2 linked regions of the Rattus norvegicus genome follow. The protein of the gene in region 2 interacts with the protein of the main gene of each other region in a pairwise test. Links are inferred from orthologs where the notes say so. Each region holds a gene or a part of one and is shown on either strand. Other genes may lie near its edges.

Region 1 (3,681 bases), on a different chromosome or scaffold from region 2:
ACTGTATGTACAGCAAGCCTGCCTCTCCAGTACAGGCAATCACACCCAGGCTCCAGTCAGTGTAACCCCAATCTTTGAAAGGCTGAAGTAGGATTGTTAAAATTCAGGGCATTCCTAGAGTACAAGGCACAACCCAGTCTCACCAAAAAGTGGAAAAAAAAACTGGTTCAAAACCGCTCTTAGGTTGGAGAGATGGCTCAGTGGTTAAGAACACCGGCTGCTCTTCCAGAGGTCCAGAGTTGGAATCCAAGCAACCACACAGTGGCTCACATCCATCTGTAATGAGATCTGATGCTCTATTCTGGTGTGTCTGAGGGCACCTACAGTGTACTTATATATAATAAATCTTTAAAAAAGAAAAACCCGTTCTTATGGGAGTCAGTTACACCAAGTGATGTACATTCACGCAAGCAAAACAAAGCACATTAAAACGCACAAGAATCCGCCTGCCTTGGGTACCCAGATGCTGACTGCTGAGACTAACACACCGGTTGAGAATGCACTTTCCGGGGTTGGGGATTTAGCTCAGTGGTAGAGCGCTTGCCTAGCAACCGCAAGGCCCTGGGTTCGGTCCCCAGTTCCGAAAAAAAAAAAAAGAAAAAAGAGAATGCACTTTCCACCTAGACTGATGGTAACCGTCCAACACATTAATACACAGTTAAGTTAAAACATTTTATTTGAGAAAAGAGGACATCCGAACCCTGTCATTCTCGCGGGAGAGTCAGCGGCAACGTCCAGATCCGGTGGAATTAACTCATTTTGAGAAAAGAGGACACCCGAACACTGCCACTCTTGCGGGGGAGGCGGCGACAACGTTCAGATCCAGTGGAACCTGTGAAATAAATGACGTGATTAGGACTGTGGCCCCAAGCCAGACCGCGGGAGCGGCGAGGCGATCTGGAATGTAGGGGCCTGGGTTTCACCCTCCCACACTGGGGCAGCAGGGGGTGAGCTGAGGCCTCTGTGGCTCTGGGCGCCGATTCTCAACCCCGGCCACAGGCCAAAGCCGAGGATGATTTTCAACGAACGCCCATTTACTGGGTCAAAGCCCATCAGGAGCGACCTACCTGGACATGAAAACGGAAGCACGAACTCGTGGACACTAGGAAGACCACAAAGCGCCGGCGCGAGTATTTATATACGCGCTTCCGGCTGGTGGCGTTCGCGGCTTCGGCGAGGGGAAGTGCGCAGGCGCAAGTAGACCGTGGCGGAGGCGGGACAAGACGCAGCCAATCACAGCCTGCAGTTGCCCTGTATAGACGTTCGAGATCTCGCGGCTCTTGGCTCGCTATAAAAGGTCCCTTCCGCAGCGCCTCCCTCTTCTTTTTCTTCGGGAAAACACGTGAGTCTGTGTTACTGGGCTCTGATCTTGCGGCCTGGGCTGTGGGAATCCGTGGACATCCGGACGGACACAGCTTTGGCAGCTCCGCGGACCCTGGGGTTCTACTGATTTGCTTTTTCTTCTCTTGTCACTAGCAAATGGCGGATGACGCCGGTGCAGCGGGAGGGCCCGGAGGACCCGGGGGCCCAGGATTAGGAGGCCGCGGCGGCTTCCGCGGAGGATTCGGCAGCGGCCTTAGGGGCCGCGGTCGTGGCCGAGGCCGTGGCCGCGGTCGAGGCCGCGGGGCTCGTGGAGGTAAAGCTGAAGACAAGGAGGTAGGTGTGGGCCGCTGGCGGAGCGGGCTGCTCACCCTCTGCACGGAGATGCAGCCCTTTGACTGATCTCTTCCTTCAGTGGATCCCCGTTACCAAGCTGGGCCGCCTGGTTAAGGACATGAAGATCAAGTCCTTGGAGGAGATCTACCTGTTCTCCCTGCCCATTAAGGTACAAAGATGAGTCCGTGCATAAACAACTCAAGGGCGGGAATATCTAGATGGCTCTAAGTGTGCTGCCACATTTTATTGTCAAGGGTGGAGGAGGATTGGAATACCCTTCTTTGTCCATTGGTAGGGAGCGAATTTAATGTATTTGCCATAAAATCTCTTTTACAGGAGTCTGAGATTATTGACTTTTTCCTGGGTGCATCTCTAAAGGATGAAGTTCTGAAAATCATGCCAGTGCAGAAGCAGACTCGGGCTGGCCAGCGGACCAGGTTCAAGGTTAGTTAGGATCGTTTCTTGGCAAGAGCCGTTTGAACAGTAGGGCTGTACTTAACTCTCTCACTCTGCATGGTTACACTAGGCTTTACCCGTGTGACTTTCGTACCGGGAGAGAGAGAAAAGGAGTTCCTCCAGTACTTGGGATTGGCCTCACAGTGGCCTTTCTTGCTTAGAGGAGCACCACAGGTCCTGTTTGGGATGTGCTGGTGGCATGAGGTATCTACAGCCATTTCACTTAAGTCTTTTCACAGGCCTTTGTCGCTATTGGGGACTACAATGGCCACGTTGGTCTTGGTGTTAAGTGCTCCAAGGAGGTAGCCACTGCCATCCGAGGGGCCATCATCCTGGCCAAGCTTTCGATCGTCCCAGTGCGGAGAGGCTACTGGGGGAACAAGATTGGCAAGCCCCACACTGTGCCATGCAAGGTGACAGGCCGCTGTGGCTCTGTGCTGGTTCGTCTCATCCCTGCCCCCAGAGGCACTGGCATTGTCTCTGCTCCTGTGCCCAAGAAGCTACTGATGATGGCCGGTATAGATGACTGCTACACTTCAGCCAGGGGCTGCACTGCCACCCTGGGCAACTTTGGTAGGTAGCTCATTTATTGTGGCCTCTCTTCAGCTGTTTTAATCTTAAAAAAAAAAAGACAAAACCAACTCTTTTACTGTTTCACAGCCAAGGCCACCTTTGATGCCATCTCCAAGACCTACAGCTACCTGACCCCTGACCTCTGGAAAGAGACTGTGTTCACCAAGTCTCCTTATCAGGTAGGCTGATTCAGATGGTGGTGTGTTGGGGATTTAGCTCAGTGGTAGAGCGCTTGCCTAGGAAGCGCAAGGCCCTGGGTTCGGTCCCCAGCTCCGGAAAAAAAAAAAAGAACCAGATGGTGGTGTGTTTAGCTGCCTTAAGCTTTGTTGCCTGAGTTGGGGGCATGTTGTATACTAATGTCCTTCTCTTTTTAGGAATTCACTGACCATCTTGTGAAAACCCACACCAGAGTCTCTGTTCAGAGGACCCAGGCTCCAGCTGTGGCTACCACATAAGGGTTTTTATACAAGAAAAATAAATGAATTAAGTCTGTTAATTGTGTTTTTCCTTTTGTCTGTCTCCCCCATACCTGGAACTACACAGCTCTGGCTGGCTCAAAATGAGCCCAACTAAGCGGCTGTGCAACTTAGACACAGAGACACAGGTGATGGCCAGGCCTGTCATTTTATTTCAGCAGTGGATGAACAAGAGTTCTTTGTCTGGTGTCTTAGGCGGCAGCAGTCTCCTTGGCAGCCTTTCTCTCTTCCAGCATCCTCTGCTTCTGCTTTGCCAGGCACTTCCTGGCAGAATAGTAGGCTCCCAGGTCCTGGTCTGGAGGAGAGATGGGCCATGGAGAGCTTGTTATAGGCAGGTTTTAGTAACGCGGGAAACAAGGACCCAAAACTGATCATACAGCTGAAAGGGTGGGGAAAGCCACAAGGTAAAAGGGTCACTCACAGCGGTCCTGGTAGGCTTTAGACACTTGGGTGAATTGCTCCAATTCCTTGGCACAGTTCTGCAGTGCACTCTCTCCTTCCCTCTGCTGACAAGCCTTAA
Region 2 (3,500 bases):
GTTAAAGCCTTGTCTGAATTTATTGGTTTTGGTAGGTGATCCATAGTGCCTTATACTTCTCTTTTGAGACCAGTCTGGGTGACATGAGAGCCCGTCTCAAAATAAATAGATAAGTACAAATTTCTTGAGAGTAGGAATTTGTATCCACAGTGTTTAATTTAGATTGGAAGATACTTAATGATCATTTTATATTAAAGTATAGTATGAGCTGCTCCTCTACCTGCCCATAAAACTCCAGGGTGATTTCCCCCTGTGGTGCTACATACTTTTCTGGATAGTTTTCTTTACTTTAGGGGAATATGTGAAATAGCAGTTTAGAGGGCTGTTTTAAGTTGTCATATTTTAGCTTTAATATTAGTATGTTTGTTTCAAGAGTGTTTGAGTAATTTTAATAGGAACCTATCGTTGGAATGTTGACTTTACCATCACAACTATAGGCACTGGGGTCGGTTGTCTCTGTCTCTGTCTTCATTGATCTCCCCCTGCTAAGTAGTCCATATAGATAGGTTTGATATTTATATTTAGCCATTTAAAACCATCCTTTCATTGAAACGAAGTTGCTCCATATATGGGCATTTTCTTTATTCTAGTCTACCCTGACATTTGCACCATCAGCCTTGTGGCCGTGAGTGACGTGAGCAAACACGCCGATAGAATTGCCTTCTGGGATGACGTCTATGGCTTCAACATGTCCTGCATGAAGAAAGCAGTTATACCAGAAGCTGTTGTGGAAGTTGTAGATCACAAGACTCTCATTTCAGACCCTTGTGATATCAAGGTAGGTGTGTGAGCATTCCCTCTGTGTCTGTGGGGTTTGATGCTAAGACTCCCTGCACAAGCCACTGTCTAATAGATGTGCAGAAAACCCTTATGCAAAATGAGGGAGTGTCTGCATGTGGCCTGCACACATTTTAAATTATCACTTACTTCACTTACATTTGTTACAAAGTGAGTGCTGTTCAAGTAGTAAACTGTACTGTTTACAGCATTTGAGAAGCTAGACCTCTGCACACGCTTGGTTCAGGTATAAAAAAATATAATGCTTTTAGTTCACAGTTGCCTTGATCCAAGGACATGGGTCACAGTAGATGTGAGTGGTGTGTGGTGATAATATGTAAGGTGATCTTGGGTCAAGCACAGAGCACTAGATTTTAAATTTGGAGGTCTTTAGTATGTCAGCAAAATGGCAGACAGATCAAAGCGTGATTTCATGGATATTATTGCTTATAGGAAATCCAAGTAGAAGACAGCCTTCTTACTGACTTTCCATGTGGGCCTCCTCTGGTTTTGGTTTACTCTAAAACAGGGTCAAACTTGCTTCTAGGCCATCATTGCTTAGAATCACTTCTTACTCCATTTATCAGCCTTCAAATCCAAGTCCAGGAGCTGGTTGACTCACTTATACATAGTCTAGCCTCCTGGGCCAGAAGCCTGCATCTTCAGTGCTGGCATCTGCTTCACTGCCGCCTGGCACCAAGCTGCCCTCTCACAGATCATCATTCTCATCCTATATTCCACTGTCAAGTTCTTACTTAGACTTCTTCCAGCCTCATTAGCTTAATTAGCACGAATTTACCTGAAACCACATGGCTGTGTTAAAATATCCTCATTAAGTTCTTCTGTGTTTATTTTTGTCATGTTAACCTATGGATTTATGGGACTGTCGATTTTACATAGGCTCACCATAGCTTGGTAACATAATGAAGTGTGTGAAGATTTCAGCTGTGGGTTAGGGCAGTGTCTCCTTCCTTTTGTAATATATAGCTGTTCTCTGCATAAAGGAGCCTCCTCAACAAGCAAGCCTGATTAACTGTGGAGCTGCTGGGTTCCCTGGTGCACTGTGGGCCTGCTTCACGCTCTGGTACTCTGGTAGGAAGAGGCCTGTGGAGCTGTTTGGATCAGAGCAGAGGGGAACAGTTGCTGTCACCTTGGCAGAGCAGGAGGAAATGGGGGAGGGAATGCTGGCTTTGCTTGATCCCTTAAACTACTGGAGTAGTTGAGACAGCTGGTTTAGGGCTGACTCTCAGCGTGTTTTGAGAATGCTGTGATAGCGAGCTTGCCTGTGCAGCCATGTTTATTCTCATTCTTCCTACACCTAACAGCCCTACACTATAACTGTCTTTAAAATGTTTCTCCAACTATCTGTCATAAAGAGGGTAGTGTCCCAGGCTGTCACTTGCCACCCCTTCCCAAAGTTACTTGGAGAACTTGAGCCAGGACAGGACACAAAGAAATACGCTGTTTCTGTCCAAGATGAACCCTCTGTTCTGCTGTTTGGTTTGAATTATTATGGCTTTTCCTTCTATCCAAAAACACCTTTAAATATTGAGAGATGAATTTTTCCTGACAGTCTTTCCCTTCACCAGCGTGTGTTTTCAAGTTACCATTTCCTCTAAGATTAATGTCATAACCAGAAGCACAGTAGATGTGAGTGGTGTGTGGTGATAATATGTAAGGTGATCTTGGGTCAAGCACAGAACACTAGATTTTAAATTTGGAGGTCTTTAGTGTGTCAGCAAAATGGCAGACAGATCAAAGCATTATTTCATGGATATTATTGCTTATAGGAAATCAAAGTAGAAGACAGCAACGTGATTTAGAGAAACATTAACTGTTACTCTTCCTTTAGCTTGGAAAGAATCCTCAGAATCATATATGATTAGAAGTTAGGGAATATTATGTTAGCCAGGCTTTGCTAGTCCTGTTTACTGATCTCTTTCTTTCTCCTTTCCAATGGGAAGCATATAGATTGCCACACCACATCTATCTCAGACTTGGAGTTTTCTTCAGACTTTACCCTGAGAACCACAAAGACAGCCATGTGCACGGTAAGCTGACCCTTCCCGCTTCCACAGATCCCACTGGCAATGCGGTTGATTGGCAGAGTAATGAATTAATTACCAGACTTGTGATAAATGGAAACAGCTATTGCCATTGACAGTCTGTCTTTGCCTTTGCTCTCACTGGACAGATCTGCTTAATAGATGAGTAGAATTCAGAAAAGTCACTGCAGCTGGTCTGCTGATGATGTCTGAAGTCTCCGTCCTCAGGAGGTGAAGGATGGCCGCAGTAGACGGCCCTGTCTCCTACAGTCTGTTTACTTAGGACACAGACGTGGGCAATCTTGGTTTTTTATTTTTCTTTCCTTTTTTGGTTATTATCTATCATACTCAACAGGGAACTTTCTATTTTATCTTCAAAAACAAAAATTATTACTGTATGCCTTCCAGTAGGTCTTTACACCTAATCTAGATGTAAATGATCAACATTTGATCCAAATACACGTTTGGCCCGGGATGTAGGTCTATTTGTTTATGGAGTCTCACCGTGTAGCCTAGTTCTGTCTCTGCAGGGACTGCATGCTTGTGTGGAGGAGGCCAGGCCATGTGAGCCCAAGCTGTAGGGAATCATGAGACATTTCAACAGAGAGGCAGGTACTCCTATGGTGCTAATGCCTCCAAGAATGTCTCATCACAGAATTTATGATAACATGCATCTTC

What was found.
Region 1: the proteins of Prmt3 (region 2) and Rps2 interact in binary tests that used the Homo sapiens proteins (3 or more experiments, as listed by UniProt). The link is inferred for Rattus norvegicus from reciprocal best matches to the Homo sapiens genes PRMT3 and RPS2.

What each region holds. Positions count from the first base shown.
Region 1 is NC_086028.1:14,250,517-14,254,197, forward strand, and holds Rps2 (small ribosomal subunit protein uS5), read left to right. Parts: upstream 1-1,331; 5' UTR 1,332-1,342; exon of another isoform or gene 1,343-1,476; 5' UTR 1,477-1,479; coding exon 1,480-1,656; intron 1,657-1,735; coding exon 1,736-1,825; intron 1,826-1,992; coding exon 1,993-2,100; intron 2,101-2,154; exon of another isoform or gene 2,155-2,288; intron 2,289-2,351; coding exon 2,352-2,685; intron 2,686-2,772; coding exon 2,773-2,864; intron 2,865-3,059; coding exon 3,060-3,140; 3' UTR 3,141-3,181; downstream 3,182-3,681. Other genes in the region: Ndufb10 (NADH dehydrogenase [ubiquinone] 1 beta subcomplex subunit 10), read right to left, coding at 3,353-3,456, 3,583-3,681.
Region 2 is NC_086019.1:108,677,424-108,680,923, forward strand, and holds part of Prmt3 (protein arginine N-methyltransferase 3), read left to right. Parts: intron 1-590; coding exon 591-778; intron 779-2,741; coding exon 2,742-2,828; intron 2,829-3,500. UniProt on the Homo sapiens protein: Protein-arginine N-methyltransferase that catalyzes both the monomethylation and asymmetric dimethylation of the guanidino nitrogens of arginine residues in target proteins, and therefore falls into the group of type I methyltransferases.